Oryctolagus cuniculus: one gene and its partners. The protein of the gene in region 2 interacts with the protein of the main gene of each other region in a biochemical or structural test. Links are inferred from orthologs where the notes say so. Each region holds a gene or a part of one and is shown on either strand. Other genes may lie near its edges.

What was found.
Region 1: the proteins of PDZK1 (region 2) and SLC22A12 form a complex in vitro, tested with the Homo sapiens proteins (2 studies listed by BioGRID and IntAct, with this or other methods). The link is inferred for Oryctolagus cuniculus from reciprocal best matches to the Homo sapiens genes PDZK1 and SLC22A12.
Region 3: the proteins of PDZK1 (region 2) and SLC15A5 interact in a test that uses a peptide from one of them, tested with the Homo sapiens proteins (2 studies listed by IntAct, with this or other methods). The link is inferred for Oryctolagus cuniculus from reciprocal best matches to the Homo sapiens genes PDZK1 and SLC15A5.
Region 4: the proteins of PDZK1 (region 2) and CFTR form a complex in vitro, tested with the Homo sapiens proteins (2 studies listed by BioGRID and IntAct, with this or other methods). The link is inferred for Oryctolagus cuniculus from reciprocal best matches to the Homo sapiens genes PDZK1 and CFTR.
Region 5: the proteins of PDZK1 (region 2) and CYSLTR2 interact in a test that uses a peptide from one of them, tested with the Homo sapiens proteins (2 studies listed by IntAct, with this or other methods). The link is inferred for Oryctolagus cuniculus from reciprocal best matches to the Homo sapiens genes PDZK1 and CYSLTR2.
Region 6: the proteins of PDZK1 (region 2) and SLC34A1 form a complex in vitro, tested with the Homo sapiens proteins (2 studies listed by BioGRID and IntAct, with this or other methods). The link is inferred for Oryctolagus cuniculus from reciprocal best matches to the Homo sapiens genes PDZK1 and SLC34A1.

What each region holds. Positions count from the first base shown.
Region 1 is NC_091432.1:6,862,480-6,865,904, reverse strand, and holds the end of SLC22A12 (solute carrier family 22 member 12), read left to right. Parts: intron 1-20; coding exon 21-144; intron 145-252; coding exon 253-368; intron 369-1,089; coding exon 1,090-1,304; intron 1,305-1,541; coding exon 1,542-1,650; intron 1,651-1,778; coding exon 1,779-1,982; intron 1,983-2,324; coding exon 2,325-2,397; 3' UTR 2,398-2,925; downstream 2,926-3,425. UniProt on the Homo sapiens protein: Electroneutral antiporter that translocates urate across the apical membrane of proximal tubular cells in exchange for monovalent organic or inorganic anions. Involved in renal reabsorption of urate and helps maintaining blood levels of uric acid.
Region 2 is NC_091438.1:49,176,844-49,181,063, reverse strand, and holds the start of PDZK1 (Na(+)/H(+) exchange regulatory cofactor NHE-RF3), read right to left. Parts: upstream 2,801-4,220; 5' UTR 2,714-2,800; intron 1-2,713. UniProt on the Homo sapiens protein: A scaffold protein that connects plasma membrane proteins and regulatory components, regulating their surface expression in epithelial cells apical domains.
Region 3 is NC_091440.1:114,128,641-114,132,579, forward strand, and holds the start of SLC15A5 (solute carrier family 15 member 5), read right to left. Parts: upstream 2,801-3,939; 5' UTR 2,746-2,800; coding exon 2,385-2,745; intron 1-2,384. UniProt on the Homo sapiens protein: Proton oligopeptide cotransporter.
Region 4 is NC_091434.1:153,028,876-153,033,091, reverse strand, and holds the start of CFTR (cystic fibrosis transmembrane conductance regulator), read right to left. Parts: upstream 2,801-4,216; 5' UTR 2,791-2,800; coding exon 2,540-2,790; intron 2,241-2,539; exon of another isoform or gene 2,141-2,240; coding exon of another isoform or gene 2,088-2,140; intron 1-2,087. UniProt on the Homo sapiens protein: Epithelial ion channel that plays an important role in the regulation of epithelial ion and water transport and fluid homeostasis. Mediates the transport of chloride ions across the cell membrane.
Region 5 is NC_091440.1:68,018,553-68,021,471, reverse strand, and holds the end of CYSLTR2 (cysteinyl leukotriene receptor 2), read right to left. Parts: coding exon 2,593-2,919; 3' UTR 501-2,592; downstream 1-500. UniProt on the Homo sapiens protein: Receptor for cysteinyl leukotrienes. The response is mediated via a G-protein that activates a phosphatidylinositol-calcium second messenger system.
Region 6 is NC_091437.1:63,391,444-63,394,943, reverse strand, and holds part of SLC34A1 (sodium-dependent phosphate transport protein 2A), read right to left. Parts: intron 2,350-3,500; coding exon 2,280-2,349; intron 2,059-2,279; coding exon 1,891-2,058; intron 871-1,890; coding exon 754-870; intron 638-753; coding exon 513-637; intron 1-512.

The DNA of each region.
Region 1 (3,425 bases), on a different chromosome or scaffold from region 2:
CCACAGCGCCCTCACTCCAGGTGGCTCCCGGAGTCGGCCAGATGGCTCCTCACCACGGGCAGGCTGGACCGTGGCCTGCGGGAGCTGCGGAGGGTGGCCGCCATCAACGGGAAGACGGCAGCAGGGGGCGCACTGACCATGGAGGTGAGGCAGGGCCGGGCGCCCCCAGACTCTGTCCCTGCCACCGGAGGGTCTGGGGAGGAGGGCCTGCCCCGGGCTCCCGGGCCAACAGCGCCCCCGCCCGCCCCGCAGGTCTTGCTGTCAGCCACGCGGGAGGAGCTGAGCGGGGACCCAGCTCCGGCCCGGCTCAGCACGCTGCTCCGCACGCCGGGACTTCGCCTGCGGACTTGCATCTCCATGCTGTGCTGGTGACGCCCCGCCCCCGCCCCGCCCACCCCACCCCACCCCACCCCCCGCCCAGGCGGCGCCCTGGTTGGCCTGTGGCCTGTGACCGACTGAGTGCCCCCAGCACGAGGCCCACCTCCCCTGGATTTGTCAGGCTTCCGACAGGGGACAGGGGATGGGGGACAGGGGACGGGGGACAGGGGACAGAGGATGGGGGACAGGGGATAGGGGACAGGGGACGGGGACAGGGGACAGGGGACGGGGGACAGGGGACAGGGGATGGGGGACAGGGGACGGGGGACAGGGGATGGGGGATAGGGGACAGGGGACAGGGGATGGGGGACAGGGGACAGAGGATGGGGGACAGGGGACGGGGATGGGGGACGGGGATAGGGGACGGGGGATGGGGGACGGGGGATGGGGGATGGGGTACAGGGGACGGGGAACAGGGGATGGGGGACGGGGGACAGGGGATGGGGATAGGGGATGGGGGACAGGGGACAGGGGACGGGGGATGGGAGATGGGGGACGGGGATGGGGGACAGGGGACGGGGAACCCCCCCAGGCCGGCAGAAGGAATCCCGGGCTTCGTGCTGGGTGGGTGGGCAGCCTGCAGGAGGGGCAGGGGTGGGAGGGCCACCTTGGCCAGCGGGCCTGGGAGCCACCGTCCGCCGGGCCCTCCCCGCCCCCCAGCCCCCGGGGGAAGAGCGCCCCTCCCTCCCCACTGACGCCGTCTGCCCTCAGGTTCGCCTTCGGCTTCACCTTCTACGGGCTGGCGCTGGACCTGCAGGCTCTGGGCAGCGACGTCTTCCTGCTGCAGGTGCTCATCGGCGTGGTGGACGTGCCGGCCAAGGCCGGCGTCCTGCTGCTGCTGAGCCGCCTGGGCCGCCGGCCCTCGCAGGCCGCCTCCCTCGTGCTGCCCGGCCTCTGCGTCCTGGCCAACACGCTGGTGCCCCATGGTGAGCGGGCAGGCGCCAGGGCCAGGCCTCCGGGCAGCGCTTCCAGGCTGCCGGGGTGGGGGGCAGGGTCAGGGGCCCCGTTAGGAAGTCGCTGCTGGGCCCGCGGGAGCTCCGGGGAGCAGCGGGCAGCACAGCACTGGGCTGTGGGCGGCGAGGCGGAGGGGGACACCCCGGGCCGGCTCTGGGGGTCCCTAGCCACGGACCCGACACCCGCCCTGCTGACCCGTCTCCCCACAGAGATGGGGGCCGTGCGCTCAGTGCTGGCCGTGGCGGGGCTGGGGTCCTTGGGGGCCGCCTTCACCTGCATCAGCATCTATGGTGGCGAGCTCTTTCCGACGGTGCTCAGGTGAGGCAGGCCCGCGGGGGGGGGGGGGGCAGGCCACCTCCCTTCCCCGTGGGCTCTGGGCTAGGTGGGGGTGGGGGTCAAGGCTGTGGGCGGCGCAGTGACCCTCACAGGCGCATTCGCCCCGTCAGGATGACGGCCGTGGGCTTGGGCCAGATGGCAGCCCGCGGGGGAGCCATCCTGGGGCCCCTGGTGCGGCTCCTGGGCGCCCACGGCCCCTCGCTGCCCCTGCTGGTATACGGGACCGTGCCTGTGCTGAGCGGCCTGACGGCGCTGCTGCTGCCCGAGACGCGGGGCCTGCCGCTGCCCGACACCGTGCAGGATCTGCAGGGCCGGTGAGTACAGCTTCGACCACCGCGCCCGCCGGGCACTCCCAGGACAGGGCGGCCCGGCCACGCAGCCCATGACGGGGGAGCAGACGCCCCGACACGGGCACAGCACTGGTGGTGGAGCGGGAGAGGGGAGGCCCAGCTCGCCCCAGGTCCACCTGCAGACGGGCCCAGGGGGCTGTGAGGGGGCAGCCCCCAGGCTGTGATGGCTGTCGCTGGCGGTCCCGGGCCTCTCCACCAAAATCCCCAGGTGGGGAGCCAGGGTCGTACCCCCAGGTGCTTAGGACAGGCACAGGCCAGGGGTCGCTCTGCACCCCCAGACACACCCGCCCCTGTCTTCCCCAACAGAGCGGCGGAGAAGGCCACGGCCAGCGCCGCGGGCTCGGCGGGGACCTCTGTCCTGAAATGCACGCGGCTCTAGCCTCCCGGCGCCACGGACCGCAGCGGGAGGCTGCTCCACTGCCCTGGAAAAGCGGCCTTGGCTTCCAGGGGCCCAGGACCACCCTCGGGCGTCTCGGGCGTCCTGCTCCCCTCCCGCGACTGCCCCCTCTCGTCATCCGCAACCCGGAAGGGGCAGTGGCCGGCTGCCGGGCAGGAGGCTGCCTGGCCCAAACTCACCCCAACCCCTGACCCCTCCTGGCTGCAGGGAGGAGAGGGGCGGGGCCCGGGGCAAGCCCCTCCCCCTCACTGCCCCACCCGCCGCCTTGCCAGCTTGGAGCTGACCTTACAGGACTACGGCTCCTCAGCCCCACCCAGGATCCCAGTGACCTGGTCCGCCCCCTCGGGCCCCTCCCACCTTGTACGTGGCAAACTCCCCTCCCCCTTCCAGGCCCGTCCAGCCCTGACCCCTCCCACCCTCCAGCCTGGGTGTCCCGAGGGTCAGGCTCCCAGGCAGAGCTGGCTCGGGGGCTTTGCTGGGACAACTGAGTAAAGACCAAGTACCAATGACCACCTTCCCCTCCTGGACTCCAGGGATGGGCTCCCGGCGGGCGGAGCGGGGTGTGCGGGGGCTCCCTGCTGGACAGAGCGGGGTGTGCTGGGGGCTCCTGGTCTGAGGGTGTGGGGTGGCTGCTGCTAGCTCCCAGCCTCTGCGGGGCCCAGGCACCACGCTGGGCGCCTCAAAGCGTCATCTCATTCCGTCTTTCCCTGAGCCCTGGGAGGCAGGTGTTGCCCCACTTCATAGATGGGATAAGCGAGGCTTAAGGAAACTGCCCTGGCACAGCGCTGGGAGGGAGCAGAGCCAGGGTGCACGCTCTGGCCTCGACAGCCCCGGCCTGCCCTCCAGCCTCACAGTCGGGGCCCACGGTGGCACTCCCCCGGGCAGTGACGGGATTCCCTGTCCCTCCGAATCAGCCAGGAACACGCAGGGCTCTCCGGCCCCGCCCATGAGGAGCCACGGAGCAGGCTCCACCGAGGTGTGGCTGCAGCTGGCGCTGGGCGGCACCCAGC
Region 2 (4,220 bases):
ACCAAGCTCCACGCCTCAAGGTACAGAAGATAATTTCAAGGGTGTTTTTTCTCAGCCCTCTCGGGATCTTAGTCTATTTCTAATGCAAAAATAAAAAAGAGGGGCCGGCACTGTGGCACAACAGGTTGAGCCTCCACCTGCTTGCTATATGGGCGCAGGGTCGAGTCCCAGCTGCTCCATTTCTGATCCAACTCCCTGATAATGTACCTGGGAAAGCAGTGGAAGATGGCCTAAGTGCTTGGGCCCCTGCACCCACATGGGAGACCCAAATGAAGCTCCTGGCTATGGGGGAGTGAACAAGCGGGTGGAAGACCTTGCTGTCTTTCTGTTTCTCTCTGTAACTCTTTCAAATAAATAAAAATAAATCTTAAAAATAATAAAAAGGAGGGGGGATGGAGGAGGAGGGGAGGAACTGGAGGCTGAGGTGGAGGGGAGAGAGGAGGTGAGTCCTCAGTGGGGGTGGGGGAAAGAGAGGCAGGAAGACCCCTGACTGCTAAAACCCGGTCTGTGGTTTTCAAAGACTGGCGGTGACAGTGATGAAGGCCAGCGATGACGGAAGTGGGGAGATGGGGCTTAAAAGACCAAAGAGTAATTTGAGGGCTGAGAGCTCCTTCAGCCTGAGCCCGGAGGCGGAGAGAGGGAAGAAGACTTCTGTTCCGAGGTAAAGAGGCCTGGCGGGGACCCGGGGTCGGAGCCGCGGGGTGGCTTCAGGGAGGTCCCCGGGAAAGCTGCTTCTTGAAGGGGAAAGTTCCCTGCCCTCCGGAGTCCGGGGGGACCAGGGCTGCCTGTGAGGGTGGCCGGTGCCATGTTCTTTGTGGACTCTCTGGCCCATCCTGAGGTTCCTTGAATGGTGAGCGGCTGAGGGAGCGCGTGGAGGAGTCTTCCCACTCCTCCAGGCACTTTGTTCTGCTAGGCGCTGGGGAGGGGCAGGTGAATGTCAAGGGGTCATCTTTTTGTTACTACAGAGGAGATGAAGGAGAAAGAACTCCAGGGGGGAAAGTTACCAAGATTCCAAGATTCAGATCAACCCTCTACCAGATCAACCCTCCAGACCTGGGCTGGGACAGTCCCACCCTCAAGGCTCCGTGGAGCTTGGAGGTGGCCCTGAGGGGGACCTAAGATTGTGTGCCCTGGGGATAGATACAGCAAGGCAGGCTCCCAGCCACTGGAGTGTGTGTAGCAGAGTAAACCCAGACATTCTGGGCTGGGGGAAAAAAAAACGGCTTAGAGATAATTTCCCTCAAGTTCCAAAGACCTCCTCCGAAGAATCAGGAGGCATGGTTGCCTCATTCCCTCTCCCCCACCCCCGCCCTGTGCCACCCGTGGAGCCTGGACCGCAGCAGTTCTTAACTGAGAATGACTCATTCATTCATCCTTAACCATAAATACATTCATTCCTGGGCTCTGTGAGTTTGGGAGGAAAAATACATCTGTATTTTCACCTGTCTCTACGTGAAAGGTAGCAGTTGCTTCTATTATGAATGTAGGCAATAAATCACAGTAGAATTTGCCGTTGATAGAAATCGCAGGTATTTTCCAATCTCATTAGAGTTCATGCCGAGTTCGCCAAGCATCATTCATGCTCATGACTCCTATGAAATTACTGGAGTAACTGGGCCAGCACTGGGTCTTAAGAAGCATGGATCTCCTGGGTCACTCGTGCTTCTAACGTCTTAAGACGATTTGCTTTCTTTGTTATCCTCTGTATTTTATTTCATGAATTTTCAAATGTTATTCTGAGAGGGGGGCTCCACGGACTTCAACAGACCACCAGAGGGACCCCAGCCAAGAAGCCCCACTCTGCTGTGTTGAGAGGGGTCAGGGCAGAAGCTCTGTTTGCTCACAAGCCTGGTTCTACTTGGGTTATGGAGGGTGGCAGGGTGGGAAGTCCCTTCACAGCTGCAAATGAGATGCGGACTCCGGGAGGTGTCCGTGGAACTCAAAGCTGACCCCCGGCTCCTCTGAGAGGCTAGATCCAGGCTTTGGTTCCAGGGGGAATAAGCTGCTTTCTCACTATCTTGTCGCATCAGACAGTCCACACTCTGCACAAAACCTTGGGCAAACCTCTAACTTTTAACCACCTCGGAAGTCCTGCCAGGGAGCTTCAAACACAAGCTGAGCCTGGTAAAGTAACCCGTCCTAGATCACGTGAAGACTCCAGGACCAGTACGCAAAGGGCTGGGGGAGGGGGCAGTGTGCTGTCCTCTGCAATCTCCTGCCCAGCTGCCTCACGGTTCTGAGAGCCCATAGCCCCTTCAACCCCTCTCTCCCTCATCCAAAGCAGTTCAGGGGCCCCAAGGAAGACTCAGGGGTGAGGATGCCAAGTTGATCGGCACCCTCCTTCCCGCTCCAGGCATCGCCACCTTCTAGGACGCAGGGAGCTCAGCAAGTTCCCAGACTCCTTGGCCCCCTCCCCGCCCCACTTCAGAAAGCCAGTTCCCTCTGGCTGCATCCCCGGGACCCACCTTGCTCACACACACCCCCTCCCCGCGCTCCTGGCCGCTGACCCGCGCGGGCGCAGGTGCAAGGTCGCGTCGGCTGCGGCTGGAAGGCAGCGCCCTCTAGCGGTCAGAGTGCAGAAGCCGCGGGGCCCGGCCCGCACTACCGAGGCGTGCTACCGCTGCGGGGCGCCAAGGTCACTTCTTGGAAGCGCACCCTGGCCCCATTGCCCCCGGCTGCCCCCAGCCCCGAAGAAGGGCCCACGACGGCTTACACGCTCCGCTCTCCCTCGGCCTTAGGTACCGCGAGGCCGGGCCACGCCGCTGAGTGTCTCGCCGCATCCGAGCCTGCGAGCCGAGCCGGCTCCCGCGTGCGCTCTTGGAAGCAGTCCCTACCCCGCGTCACCCCCACCCCCATCCCGCTGCACCAAGCCCTCAGGAAGCTCGCCCAGAGAAGGGACATGACCTTCTCAGCGCCTTCCCGGTGCCAAGCCAGTCCTGGAAGCCAAATGCCCCACTCCCCGCCTTGCGTCACCCACCGAATCCCGTTCCCGCACGCCTCATTCAGAATTTCCCCTCTCCTAGTCCTGAGGATTATGCTTCTGACCTGATTGCTGCTACTACAGCTCTCCTGGGTGGCAGCTCTGGGCGAGGACAGACACCAGACTCCAAGATCAAGACTCTCCTAACCTGGCTTAGCATCCTAGCTCCTGCGCGGAGCAAGTGTGATTTTTGTGAAGTCACAAGATCTCTCCTAGCCTCTGTATGCTTAGTACACAGGATAAATTAAATAACAGCTCAGTGCTTTCTAAGAACTAAACACAGTCGTGTATGTGGATGTACCTGGGACCTTGTATATTCCTTTCAATGTGAAGAACCCCTATAAATCATCAGGCTGGGCCGACGCAGTAGGTTAATCTCCGGCCTGTAATGCCTCCATCCCATATGGGCGCCGGTTCGAGTCTCGGCTGCTCCTCTTGGAGCAGTTCTCTGATATGGTCTAGGAAAGCAGTAGAAGATGGTCCTAGTGCTTGGGCCCCTGCACCCTTGTGGGAGACCCAGAAGAAGCTCCTGGTTCCTGGCTTCGGATCTGCCCAGCACCAGCCACTGCAGCCATTTGGGGAGTGAACCAGTGGATGGAAGACCTCTCTCTCTGTCTCTTCCTCTCACTATTTGTAACTCCACCTTTCAAATAATAAATTCTAAATAATAATAATAATAATAATAATCATGGCTAACTTTATTTTGTTTTTGAGCTCTGGCTGTGTGCCACTCTGTTACCTAGGTGACCTCTCGTAACCCCCACAATCATCCCAGGAGGACAACACTATCACCATTTTATAGATCAGCAAACTCGTTTTTGGAGAGGGCACTACATCTGCCCAGGGGTACCTGGTGTCAAGGCTGCTGTTCCGACTCTAGAGACTGTATCTGTCCATGACAGCAGCTGAAGACTGTTCTAGTGATCTCCCTCTGCCCTGCCATGCCTAACCTGCCATGGGTGCTCACAAAGCACTGGCCAAATGTGTCCGCCTATTAAGCGCTGGGCATTGTACCTGGCCCAGGAGCCCGAGAAACTCACCCAGGTCCCATAACTGTTTTTAGGCCCAGCATTTGGACATAAGCAGTCTGGGCCTAGATCAGTGCTTTTTAACCATGACCCTGGGCTGAGTGAATCCTGGCAATCCTTTATCCTTCTCTTCAAATCAAAGGGTGCTTTGTAGCTAGCCACAAAACGTGCTACTCGACATCCATGCTTGGTTGCAGGAGTTACTAGGACGT
Region 3 (3,939 bases), on a different chromosome or scaffold from region 2:
TTCTGTTAGAACTTCTGATATTTAGTATCTGTCTGGAATTTCATGGCAGATGTGATCTAGGGATACAAAGAAATAACTTAGTAGGAAAATGCATGGATATGGAGTTGGCTTTGCACTTTTGTTTGCCAAATTCCAAAGTTGGGACTTTCCTTCCTGGTCTGACAACTTACCTTGGAATTTAATTTTTAAAAAATGTATTTGAGAGGTGGGTGTTGTGGTACAGCAGGTTAAGCTGCAACTTGAGACTACAACATCCCATATCAGAGTGCTGGTTTGAGTTCTGGCTTCTCTGCTTTCAATCCAGCTTCCTGCTAATGCACTGGGAAGGCAACAGATGATGTGTTAAGCACTTGGGCCCTCTGATCCCCGTGTGGGAGACCTGGAAAGAGTTCTGGGCTCCTGGCTTCAGCCTGGCCCAGCCCTGACTGTTTCTGGAGAAATTTGGGGAGTAAAACAGAAGATGGAAGAGCTAGTGCTCACACTTGTTCTCTCTCTCTCTCTCTCTCTCTCTCTCTCTCTCTTTCTCTCTCTCTCCCTTTCCCTCTTTTTTCCTCTCTCTCTCTCTTTTCATACTCCTTTCAGTATCTGAAAATAAACATTTAAAAACATTATTTGAGAGAGAGAGAGAGAGAGAGAGAGAGAGAGATCCCATCCTTGTCCTGGCCACAACTGTTGCAGCTGGGCTTGGCCCGGGACCAGGACCAGGACCAGGGCCAGGACCAGGATAGGGAGCACAATCCAGGTCTTGCACATGATTGGCAGGAACTCAATTACTTGAGCCATCACTTGATGCCTCCCGGAGTTCACATTGGTGGGAACCAAGCCCAGGTTCTTTGATACAAGATATGGATGGATATCTGAACCATTAAGCTAAAGCTTGCTTCCTTGCCCAGGAATTTAAGACTGATAGGAATTAACATGTTAAAGAAGTTACCAAATGCTACTGATGTAGCCTCTTACTAAGTTAAGGAGAATGAATTACTGAGGTCTTTGCTTAAATGTTTTCTCATCAGAAATAATTCTCTGATACAAAATAGCAAGCCTATCACTGTTCATTCCATCCTATCCCCTTTCTCAGATTTATTTTTCATCTTAATACTTACTACCATCTGTCATAGTCTATTTACTTGTTCATATTCTCTCTTCCCTCACCACAAAGTCACCTTCAGCCAAGAACAGAGTACTTTCCTCCCTGCTGCATCCTTAAAAACTTGCAATAATCCTGGTGCTGAGTGATCAAGTGGAAATAATTGCGGAATGATGACTGAGTATTTGCCATTCAGCAACTTAGTTTTTATTTCACGGTACTTAAGCAGAGAAGTGTACAAGTTCGAATCTCACTCTAACAAATTCCCTGAACACCAGTGCCCTATAGCTGTATACTCTGTTGGGTCCCTGATATTTGTCCATTGCTTCCCCATCAGTTGCCCCCACCACAGGCATTCTAGCTGCACTTGTCATTATTGGTGGACAGCATATTACCTTGACAAGTTCTCAGCTCAGCTCTTGGAGTTAATTTTTCTTCCCCTATCATATTTATACCTTTGTTTAGTTGCCAAGTTTTTAAAAATAGTTCTCACAGGTTTTCTCCTGAACTGGCACTTCTCTATTGCTTAGGCCATCATTCTGTGATTTTTCTGGTTTCTATCTAACCTCTTTCTGTAGCTGTTCATCCTGTTTATTGAAGAAAAGCATTTCTCAAATATTATTTCCATCATATCTTCCGAGATTTCTTGTACAAGAAGAATAATTTGAACTTTGCAGTTTAAAATTCTAGCCTATTGCAGATCAAACTATCTTGATATTCTCCCCAGCATTATTCACTCCCAATCACCTCACTCCCAACTTTTGCAGGTATATTTATTTTTCTGTATATAAAGTAGCATACTGTAGTGTATGGACTCACTTATTTTTTAAAGCATATAGATATAGAAGTCATTCTCTAATATGCAATCTTAATTACTATATGATTAATTAGACTACCTTTTCTGAATAATTCTACATGAACTTTGAAAATGTTTTTAGCACATTTTATCTTAGTTGTGAAACAAATGGATTTTGTTTTGCATAGAGTTTACTGTAAATATGGGCTTGGAAGAGAAAGGGGGTACAGAGGGCAGAGGAGTACAGAGGACAGACATGTAAGCAAATAGGTATTGTAGAACATAGTAAGTGCAGTGACACAGGTCTCAAAAATTCCCTAAAACATACATATTTACTAACATATTTCAAGTAATAGGAGATCAAAATAAATTTAAGCAGCATTCTTACTTCATTGATCACATTTTATGCTAAGATCAAAATGGGAATAACAGAAATAAAAATATTAAGGCAAAAATATTCAATTAAGTTGCAAAACAATCCAACCAGTAAAGCACACTTACCTAGAAAATGTAGAAATAGGCAAATATACACCAGCTTGTGTCTTCCCAAAGAGACATCAGCAAGCCATCCAGCCAGCACTGGGGTGAGTATGGAAGTTCCAATGAAACACAAGTTCAGTATGGCTGCCTGGTAATTGTGATAGCCAAGCTTGACAGTGCAAAATGGGACCATGTTGCAGACAATTTCAAAGAAAGTAAACGTCTCACACAGGTCCACCAAAAGCAAGCAAACCCAAACCTGAATTTTTTTCACAGAGTGTGATGAAGAGAAACAACCTATATGTCTTACAGTTGTCTCCTTTTCAATGCTGTGATTGAAGAATATTTTCTCATCAATTATTGTAAAGTCTGTATTAGACATGACTACCTTCCTTGGGAATAACTTGTGTTAGTAGTTAGAACTTGACGGTTTTTACCCCTGCCCCTCTAATGAAAAAATAAGTAAGACTGTTGCTTTGAATGTCACATCTCCATGCTAAAACTTTGTAAGGTCTTTTGCAGATTGATGTTGTTCATTCTGATGATCCAGGAGCACAGGAGAGAAGATACAGGTTATTTGGACATTCATGGTAGCTCAATGTAGCCAAATCTGATTTGTTTGTTTAATTACTTAGAGACTAAATTAGGCTATTCCTCCAAAATTATATTGAATTACATGAATCCAGTTGCATATGTGTGGAAACTCATCTGCCTCATGCTGATAAAATTTTAAATACTGAGACAGAAGATGCAGTTTTTCAGTAGAATTTGAGCATTAGATCAAGAAATAATTTGAGTCTAATAATTTCTGATATTTTAATTAAACAAGCCAGAACACTGCCAAGAGATAAAGCGCAAAGGAAATCTGTTTTGAGAGGGCAGAGTACCTTATCATTATTACATTTCTTGTTATTTTTGGTTGGGATTCTGATAAGAAAGTTAATTAGGTAACAAAAGTGCTAGTACATTTAGGTAACAAGCAGAGTTTACAAGAAAGTAATTTAAGTGCACTAATGAAAGGAGAAAATATTAAGCAAAACCTTGCTTCCTTTAAGTTGACCCTATGCTTGTAGAACAGTCTCTCAGAGGAAATCAGAATCAAAAGGCACTATTTGACTCCCTTATTATTAATCAGCAGTCAGGGATACAGCAATCAGCCTACACATGCTTCAGGGAATATTGAATCTGGTATCACCCTGACCCTCCAGCTGGGTGAATGTATGTTAGCATTTTATTTTGGAAGCAAGGGGGTACCAATTAAGCTAAGAAGCAGCAGCAGCAAAAGAGAACACTTTAACATTTGGGAGTTTAGTTGCAAGGACATAGGAAGGAGAGGGAATGGAACTGTTGAGCCAAAGTCATAATGATCCAACACATGACTATGGGGATGTTATATTCTCTTATTGTGTCTGATTCTCATCGTTTGTCCCTGGAGATTGGTAGCAGAACACCATCTTTGATCACTTCTTATAGCATCACTACAAGGTTAATGAGACTGTCTTTTTTCTTGGGTAGAATGATCATGCAATTGATTTTTGAAAATTGGATACTTTTGTGAGTAAAGTGATGCTATTTA
Region 4 (4,216 bases), on a different chromosome or scaffold from region 2:
GCTTAGTGAGACCATGTTAGATGAAATTTTCCCAAATTCTCATACAGGCTGATTCATTGTGTATGCAGACTTATACTGCAGAATTATACTCAGCAAAGAGGAACTGCACTCCTTATATAAACAAGACACATGGTACTGTAAAGAATGTTCAAATGTAGTAATTTATAATGATAACAGCAGCTAACACTTACTGGGCTAACATAAACATGCATTTTCTCAATCACAGAACCCTTGGGTCATAAGTCCTATCAATCTCTAAGTTTGAATGGTCAAGTCACATGAACACAGAGATGTGACAGGATTTGCCTCAAGTCACACAGCTACTAAGCAGTAGATCTGGGATTTGAATCCAAAAGATCTGAATCCAAAGTCTGCTGCTCCTCACCAGTGAGCGGCACTGCCTGACCCATTGCAGAGAGTGAGGTTTTTGCCCTTTAGCAGTAGAGTCCTGAAGAAAGTTCATAATCACTAGTTCTGGGTGATTGTCAGTTCCTCTAATAGTAGGAACTTAATTTTTAAAAACACACCTATTCTTAGAGCAACTTATTATAAAATAGTTTGGAGAAAAGAAATGAGTATGCTCGCAACAAATTTCATAGCCATTATAATACATTTTCTTTCCAAATCAACCTGACAGCTTTTTTAAAACTATACTAAAGTTTGCCAATCTATAAAAATTGAAAAGTTTGATGAACAATTGAAAAGATGAACAATATGCTATTTAAAGTCTCTTAGTCCTTAGAATTAACCATGGGATATTCATTCTGAAAACTGCATTTTTAGACTGACTGGCAATTGGGTTCCTCAAAGTGCTGTGGATAAAAAGTCTCCAATTATTGCCAATTAGCAATGTGATTTTAGAAGTAATAGGAAACAGATAAACAGGCCAATTTTACAAAGTAATAAAAGGTGCTGTAAACATCAATAAGAAAGGCAGTTCCAAAGAGTAAAGTCCTTCTGCCCCATCCACAAGGAGGAGATCTCCTTCAGGGGCCAATGGCCTCTCCTTTGCACCTGGGTTTCAGGTTTGCAGCACGTGTAGAGAATCAGAGCTCAGAGGACTGTGAATCACTTTCTCATACACACATTTATGGGCATATTTGTAGCAGAGTTGACTTTTCCAATACTTTAGCATGCTGATTCACTGGAGAATTATGAGCCTGGCAGCATCCTGGGAGAGAGCTGCCCCTATTGGTTCACTCACACAGGTATAGCAACAGGAACAAAGTAGATGCGGTACCTAAAGAACACTTGAAACACGAAACGCTACATCTAATTACACTTCACCTAAGACTCTGAATTTAAACTCTATTTTTAAAAATCTCATTAGAAGGAGTTTGCAAGCTTTTCTAGCTGTTCATTTGCAAAAAAGGATAGGAGCACAATCTCTTCCATGTCAGTTGGTTATAACTTCAGCATCTATTCCCCGGGTTTCACACTTTGCAAAATTCTGATGTTCTTAAATTAATAATAGGTACTATTAGCATTTTGAATATACCTATTTCAATGGATTTGATTTCCTTCATAACAGGAAGAACAATGGAATTCTGCAAAGGCTTGTTAGACTTACTTGGGATTCTAACAACGAAAACTTTGTTTAATCACATAATTTCCAACCCCAGCCCCCATTTTTTAATTCAGTCAACAAATGTTTTCTGAGCACCTACTACATGCAGGAGTGACACGTGGTATGAGTGCCAAGAAAACAAGTTTCTATTAAACATGTATGGGGGAAACGGCGGCGCAAACAAGAATCCTTTATGAATAGCTTTGTCACCGATAAGTTTCTTGGAGAAATCGAAGAAAACAGTTTCACAGTAGCCCACTTGGGTCTAAGAGTCTGCCTTTCCGTTGCAAGCAGACTTGGCTCTACCCCAACAATGGGCTTCAGTTTATTCTTCCATCTCTTCTTAACGCTTTCCATCTTATTGCTCCAAATCCACGTTTTCTTTCAAAACCATGACAGCGCATCTCTTAAGAACCGAGAACAAAAACACTAGTCCTCTCTCCCCGAACCCTGCCCATATCCTCTCCCTCCTCTTTCGTAGGCACGTGTGCTTGCGCAGCTCAGCTGAACACCCTCTCACCTGAAAAAAAGTTTGGAGAGGACGCCGGCCTTCTCCAGAGGCGACTTCTGCATGGTCTCTCGGAGCGCCGGGCTGCCTGCCGGGGCAGGCTGGGCTCGCGCTCCTACTGCCGGACGCCCTGCTCCTCTCCGCGCCCGCCGCTCACCCCTTTTTCTCTGACCTGCCGTGATGTCATTTGCCGCCAACTCCCCCCACCCACCCCCATGGCACACACCTCCCCTTTCCTGCTGCTCCTTCCCCCGCCCCCGCTGCCCAGGTTAAAAGCCCGGCGCTGCCTGGCCGGCCCCACATTCGCTCCAGCCGCCTTCTCCGCCCCGGCGCGCCCCGGCCGCTCCCCGGCCGCTCCTTCCTTCTCGCCTCCTTCCCGCCTGCGCCGCCCCACGCCTCCCTCGCCCGCCGCGGACTCCCGGCCTCCTCCCTCGCGCGCGCTCCGTGCAGCTCCGCGTCCCTACCGTCCAGCCGCAGCCCAGCCCGCGCGGCCGCTCTGCAGGTGCGGGCGGCGACGCCTGAAGACAGAGCCACCAGCGGGAGCAGGAGCGGCAGCACCGCGGCGAGACTCCTGGACCTTCCTCCTCACCAGGTCCCTCCGGCCCCGGGACCTGCCGCCGCCAGCTTCCCTGTGCCATCCTCCTCCTCCTCCTCTTTCTCTTCTTCCTCTTTCCCCGGATCCTAGCCGGGTTCGTGTAAGGTTTGCAAGGTGCATTTTGAAAAGGGAAATACCTCTCTCCAGCATCAAAATGCAGCCTTGGAGAGCCGGCAGGTCCTGCGTTTGTGCCTGGTGGGTTCGCCCTCGCGCCTCCTTCGCGGGGCTGGGGAAGAACCCAGCGTTGTTAGTTTCAGGCTTAGGTGCGCTCCAACTGCGGCTAAGACACCTTTGGAGACGCACTTGGGGGGACGAAAATGTCAACATCTTGCAAAGAGGTAAGAGCAGCTAGTGCCTTGCCCGTCGCCGCCGGAGAGTTGTTAGTTGTCTTTACGAAGTTTTTACTAGTCTAGCTTGCGTTTCTAAGGAGGCTTTTGTGTGCCTAAGCGACAGTGACGACTGGACAGTATGTAAACTCACCCGCCCTCCTATGGATTTCCTGGTCTCGTTCAGCAAAACGTCTTGACTACTGCGCCGGAAGGAATCCAGGCAGCCTTTGAAGCGAAGGTGGCGCATTAACTTTGATCTGACTGAATCTGAGGGCACCTACCCTTTCCTAAGCGTGGGCGCCTTCCTTCCCAGGTTTGGGTGCCTGTCGTGTGGATTTTAAAGAGCCAAGCCTTTAATTTCTGAACTCTATTGTCAAAAAAAAAAAAAAAAAGTGCTAGCATAATGATAGAAAGGAACATACATTTCAATTCATGAATGTGTTCCGCAGGTTTTGATCACTTTCCTTTGCATTTTAATGTCATCTTTTTTCCCTTCTATCTTAAAGTGGGTTTTAAGAAACATTCACATTTTATTGCACTGAATTTTAATAGTAGAGAATAGAAGAGCAAAGAGATGGAACAAAATGATGACAGGATGAATCGGGAAAGAATTTCAGCATTTCTAATTCATGACCCTTGCTTCATAGACTGTGCTGGTGTTTTCCTCTCTCCAGTATCACAAAACTTGAGGCTCTGTTTTCCCTATTGACTTTTCTCAGGAGTGTGAGTGAACTTACTTCATCCACTTCACCATCCTAAGTCTGTTTTCTCCCTACTAGCATGACCCATCAAATGTAAGACACAAATGTTGAAAACAATTGGCAATTATTTCCTTGTTGTTATCAATGAGCAATGACAATGAAGGGATGAAGAATCCACTTCAAGATTACAGAAGCTGACCAATGAGTATGGCTCAAGGAGACCCCAAATACTTTTCAACCAATCTCCCTCCTCTGGAAAGAATAAATAAAATAGTCACCTGAGTTCTTACTATTTGCTGCACATCATTTCATGCAAACCTCACGCTCACCATGTGAGTAAGTGTTGTTATCCTCAATCTTCAACTAGGAAACAGACTAGAGGAGTTAAATAAATGCCACTAATGATAAAGCCAAGATCAAACTCAGGTCTATTTCCAATCTCTCCTTTCAGCATATAGTATTGCCCCTAGTCAAATCACCCATGTAATTTTGTTTACATTTTGCCAGCCACCAAAC
Region 5 (2,919 bases), on a different chromosome or scaffold from region 2:
CATCCTAAGTGACATAGCAAACCACCTCTGACTGCAGGGAGTGACTCCCAACACCCCAGGGAGGACTCCCTCCCTTCTCCTTGAGGGCCCAAACCCACTGTAGTCCTGTCTACTTTCCTTTCTCCTGTCAGTCTTCCATGTTCATTTCCAGAAGCCTTTATTTTCTTCCTTTTTTAAAAAAATGATTTATTTATTTATTTGAAAGGCAGAGTTACATAGAGGGAGAAGGAGAGGCAGAGGCAGAGGCAGAGAGAAAGAGAAATCTTCCATCTGCTGGTTCACTCCCTAAATGGCTGCAATAGCTGGAGCTGGGCCAGGCCGAAGCCAGGAGCCAGGAGCTTCTTCCATGTCTTCCATGTAGGTGCAGGGGCCCAAGGATTTGGGCCATCTTCCACTGCTTTCCCAGGTCATTAGCATGAAGTTGGATCAGAAGTGGAGCAGCTGAGCCTATGGGCAGTGACTTAACCGATTATGCCACAGCACCAGCACCTTTGTGTGTGTTTTTTTTTTTTTTACTTATTTATTTATTTTTTATTTTTTGACAGGCAGAGTGGACAGTGAGATTGAGAGACAGAGAGAAAGGTCTTCCTTTTGCCGTTGGTTCACCCTCCAATGGCCGGCGCAGCCAGTGCGCTGCGGCTGGCGCACCGCGCTGATCCGATGGCAGAAGCCAGGTACTTATCCTGGTCTACTAATTTGAATTTTAGCTGATTTTAGCTTTAACTGAATTTTTATTTAACTTCAGCAATACAAGGTTGACAGCTAAACATCTCTAAAAGGGAAAAGAGAGTCTGCATCCTATCTTCCCATCCCTGCTTCCTCTCCAGAGGCAATCTCTGTCCACTCTTTTTGCTACTTCTTCTGGTGTTTTCCTCCTATTGCTACATACTTGCCCGTGTAACTCTGCATCATCCCAGCTTTAGTTATGCGTTATTGATGATGGAAGATGGGAACTTAGGTTTCTTACACCTCTCCCTCAACACAATCTCCTCCCCTCATTTTCTGAAAAATATTATAGTGTTTCCCTGTTGACATTATTCTCTGTAAATATTATTCACAGCTCATCCATTTAGTGTGTATGGTTAAATGTTCCCTGTTATACAGCAATTTCTTTTTCTTTTGTATCTGATAACTGCATTAAATTTTCAGTTGCTTACTTTTCTGTGTTGATCACTAGTTCATCACGAACTCTCCAAAAGAAATATAAATCACTCTGAAGGTGTGCAAATCAAGTATTTTCTTATTTTCCTTGGAGACATCCTCCTACAGTCCTTTTGGATTCCTGCTCCAACCTGTGTGACCCTGCTACACACTAACATCTGGGAATTCTCTTCCCCTTTCTCCTATGCCATGTTGTCCTCCCTCTTGATTTAATCTAATGTCATGGTGTTGGTGGTTGGAGGTGTCCTTATCCTTGTGACAGTGCACAAAAAGATCTCCTCCCACTACCTATTGCTTTTCTACATTCTATCAAAAGGGAAGGTATCATCATACTACTCAAAATGTTTATAGAAGTACAACAACCTTTGTAACTTGTTCTCCTTCCTACCCTTTCCTGTTGTGCCCAACCCAAACCCTTAGAGCCTTCTGGACCCCCATCACAAATGATTAACTGGCAAGAGTTAGAACTGCAGCAAAGTCAGTCCAAACCCAAATCTGAAAGCAGAATGGCAATGTGCATCCTCGACCCTCCATCTCCCATGTTCCACACACAATGCCTCCATGCCCTACGGCAGGGTGGGGAAACACTTTTGCCAAGGGCCATTTGGATATTTCTAACATCATTCAAGGACCATACAAAATGATCAACTGGAAAATTAGCCTGCTAGAGATTTAATGAATTTTGAGTCTTGCTTGTGTTTGCTTTGGCAGGGCCAGCTATTCCCTATTCCGGTCCTAGATAAATGCCCTGGTCTGTCTTCTACTCCTCCTATCCCTTCTGTTCCTCAGACAAAAGAGTGGCAAAGGGAACATTCTTACCTTCCAGAGCCAAATGGAAGTCCTCCTTCCCCTACTTACAATCAACCAGCTTTCTCTTGCCTCAATCCTTCTACCCTTTCCCTCTCATTGTCCTTGTTTGGGGCCTTGGCTTGCTTTGTTCTAGGGCAGCCTTTCTTTTCATAGTCGAAGTCTGTCCCTGTATTCTTAGGAAGCACATTTTATCTGCACTGGGGCCTCCAGGGGCTTCTTATTTGGCTGTATCTCAAGGGGTTGAGGAGGGAAGGGGAGTGGGAGAACCCTGGATATAGAGTATGCCTTCAGGTTGCGAATGTAGAAGGCTCGAAGGGCCAGAGATCTGGTACAGGATCTGATGAAAAGCAGGACCTACTGTTCCTGGCACTTTTTCCCAATCTGACATTTCAGGGAGCAAGACTTGTAGGACTTTTCCTTCCTGTATCCCTCATCAGACCCAAACCACTGAAAATATACCTAATGACACTTTGAAGTAGGTCTTATCAACAAAAGTCATGGTCAAGTTCATGTTGGGATTGGATGTTTGTTGGGAAGGCTGTAAACACCAGGTCATTTGGAGATGTCAAGTGCATGGAGGTGGACACAATGGTGCATGAGCAGGCATCACCCAGTAACTCATTACACCTTTGCTTCCTTTCTCAGCCACACACAAACAGGAAAGCTGAACTTTGTCTCTGCCTCCTGGGAATGACCTTTTCTGAGCACAGCCCTTAGTCGGTCCTTAAAGTTCTCCCCAGCAAAGTAGTAGAGCAGAGGATTGAGGCAGCTGTTGGCAGCTGCCAAGACCAGTGTGATGACCACGGCTTTGTGCAATGTTTCTTGGCACTTCCCCACTTCCCACGTGAGCAGGTGCAGGGTCCTCAGTGCGTGGTAGGGCAGGAAACACAGGAGGAAGAGGATCAAGGCTATGATGATGGTGATCAGTGCCTTCTTGTGAGAAAGCCG
Region 6 (3,500 bases), on a different chromosome or scaffold from region 2:
GGCTGCACTGAAGACTTGAGATGCTTCTGAGTAGCTGTATGTTGTCACTCCCTGAACTCCCCCGCTGTCACCTCTCCCGGGAGCTCCCAAGTGATTTCATTGATCCCCAGCAGCTCCAAGATCTCTCTGGACTCTGGTTGGCTCAAGGCTGTGAGTTGCCAGTCACTCCTTTGCTTCCAGAACAGCCCCCCTTTGCTATCTGCACCCAACCCTTCCCCTACCCCCACTGTTCTCCTCCCAGACTGAGCCAGGTCTGCCTCAGCACCGCTTGCTCCTGGTGCAATCCCCCTTGCCAGGGTTCGTGGTGAGATTACTGAGCAGTGTCTCTCTCCCTGCCATGTGCTGATGTGTTTGGGGGAGGAATCAGGTTGACTTTGGCCATGCTGGTTTGCACATGGCATAGCGAGTGGCTCTTAATAGGCAGTCAGAACCTAGTTGTTACCTGTGGCCACACGCTGGGTCCCGTGCCCAGCCCCATCCTGCCTCTCCGGCGGGGCCACTCCCAGACATACCTGGAAGGAGCTGGACAGCTTCTCCCGGGGGCTGGCCAGGGCAGCCAGGATAGCGGTGGTGGTGGTGCCGATGTTGGAGCCCAGTGTGAGAGGGTAGGCTCGCTCGATGCTGATCACTCCCAAGCCTGGGTGGGGGTAGGGGGCCGGGTGGGGTAGGGGAAGAGGATGCGGTTCCCCAAGCTCCCCCCCAACCAGCCTGCTGTCCTCAGTCTACCCCACCTTGGCTCGGCCAGGCACTCACCGACGAGTGGAGTGATGGCCGAGGTGAACACGGAGCTACTTTGGACAATGAAGGTCATAGCCGCTCCCACCACCATGGCGAAGTAGCCCGTGACCCAGGTGAAGGGGGCAGGCAGGTCTGCAAGGAAAGCCCATGCCAGCAGCCCGAGTCAGCAGAGGGGGCTGGGAGAGCAGGGCCTGCCCTGGGCAGCAGGCGTCCGAGGCCAGGCCCCTGCTCAGTGCCCTCCACTCACTCTTGATCGTGGACGAGAGGCCTTTTCCCACCTGCTGTGCCCAGGCCGCCATGCCTTTGCCTGGCCGGGCCCGCAGCTTCCCCACAAGACCCTACTCAGTGTCTGAGTGTGCATCCTCAGGACACGGCCCAGACACCTGGCAGTAAAGCCCTCCTTGGCCCCACCCACCTGCAGGCTTGGTGTCTCCCCTCTCTGGGCCCCCACGATACCACAGTGCCCTTTCCTCCAGCGCCTGTCACAGGCCACTCCCAGGGCCAGTGTCCCCAAGGCTCACAGTGAAGCTTACCATGAACGTCGGATGATGTCGCCTCCGCCCCAACCCCCTGATGGCTCCCCTTACCCTTGCCAGGCTGGGAGCAGAGCCTCGAGGCCCTGAGGTCTGGCCCGGCCCCCTCACTTCTCTGGCCATGCCCTGAAGTCTCCTCTACTGCCGTGCTGCTAGCCGCTCTTCTGTGCCACGAGCCTGCCCCCGAGCCTGGGCACTTGCTGCTCCCACCACCCAGAATGCTCTTGGTCCACAACCTGACCGCGTGTAGAGGCCGCTGCCCATCAAAGCAGCCTGTGCCGCACTCCTCAGCTGCCATCTTTGCTGTCTCCCTGGCAGCCACCTTCCTTGTTCTCTGCGATTATCCTGCGTTCCCACCTTGCCCTCTTGGGCTCTGAGCCCCTGAAAGCAGCCTCTGCATCCCCCACATCCTGCAAGTGGCTTCGTGACTTTGTCTACAGCCTCTGAGAAGCTGCACCTGCCGGGATGGTGGCCCTGAGGCTCACCCTCCAGGCGACTTTGAAATCGCCTGGTCTGATCCCTTCTGTGTTCACGTGCGGAAATACAGGCCCAGGAGATGGTAGGGGCAGGACATGGCTTTGGAAGGATTTGGAGGGGCCGCTCGCTGCTTGCTGCTCACCGGTGTTGATCACTTTCTGGATGACCTTGGCCACTTGGCCCTTGAGCAGGGAGTTGAGCATCTTGACAAGGAGAATGAGACAGGTGCACAGGAGCACCAAGGAGCCGGCCAGCAGGATGAGCCCCACGGCCAGGTCGGGCAGCTGCGTGTCCACGAAGATGTGATTGCCTGCAGGGGAGTAGCTGAGCTTCTGGGAGCTGGCCCCACATGCAGCCCCCACTGCCCACCTTGGCCACCCCTTTGGCTCTGGGCCTCAGGTCCCACTCTGGGCTCCTTCGGCCTCCAGACCAAGGCCTGAGTCTCCCTTCCTGGGGCTGGAGGCGGCAGTGGCTGGGCTGGGGCGGCCCCACCCTGCCGTGGGGGACACCTGCCGTGTCGCAGGCACTTACATTTCTCCATGGTGGCATTTCCATGGGTCCGGCTGATGTTGGTCTCTGCCCTGGCCATGGAGGTGGAAGCCTAGATTAAGAGGAGTGTGGATTTAGGAAAACGCAGTCTGGGGTTGGCACTGAAGTGGGGGCGGGGGAGACGGGGTTTCCTGACTCTGCGGCGGTGGGCAGGTCACTTGCCTTCTCTGAGCCTGTTTCCTTTGCTAAAGAAACGTGGCTGAGCATGCTTGCCCCATGAGAAGCTGAGCCTGGCCGGCCCTCTGCACAGTCTGTCTGCCCCATCACCCCTCTGGCCTGGCTCCCTGGGGGCCAGCAGGTTCCCAAACCCAGCAGCTCTGGGCTCCACTTTCCTCCACGCTCAGTGGCATTGGATGCTGCTGACGGGCGCAGAGGCCACAGGGTGGGCAGGATGCCTAACTGAGGAGCTCAGCTAGGAGAGGAGGAGGTGGGTGTGTGTGTGCTGGGTCTATGGGGGCGGCAGCTCCTGAGCTCCAAGCCATCGTCACCATCGGAAGCCACGGCTCTGATACCTTAGGTGAAATCTCCCAATCTTCACAGTGCAGGGGGCAGTATGGCAGCCTTGCCTGGTCCACGGGCCACTAATTTGTAGTCCCACTGGGTCAAGGAGTCATTATAGAAAATGTGGCCCAGGTCTTGTCACTGGTGCCCCCCAGGAGCCCAGCAAAACCCAGCGGTGACAATAGAAAGTGGGCGGGGCATAGATGGGCAGACACCCTGCTCACTGCTAGGGAATCCTCTCCACAATGGACAGCTGTTCCCAGGGCTGCACGTTAGTGCCCCCTCCCTGCAGTCTTGGGGCCCCAAGCAAAATGCAAGAGCTGTAGCTTCCTCCTGTTCACATTGCGCCTCTTCTGGGAGCTGCTTTGGGCACTGAAGCCATCTCTGCCCGGGGAGCTCAGCACCCCCCCCCCCAGGGCCCTCCCCCGGTGCCGAGGGTAGGGGCTGGCACTTCAGCGTTCATAGCTCCTTCAGGTTTTGTTCTGAGCCCTGTGTCATAGGGCAGCCATCAGAACCGCTGATGACATTCCGCTTGCTACTGTTAGGGTTCACCTGCGTGGCACATGCTGCCTTGGGGAGAGCGCTGTGTGTTCCCAACTTGACCCCCACTAGGCCTTGGGGTACTGCCAAGCCTGGAGGCCTGAGCTGCAGGCCCATAAACCAAGGGCAAATGACCTCCAATGGGCTAGATAGGAAAACCAG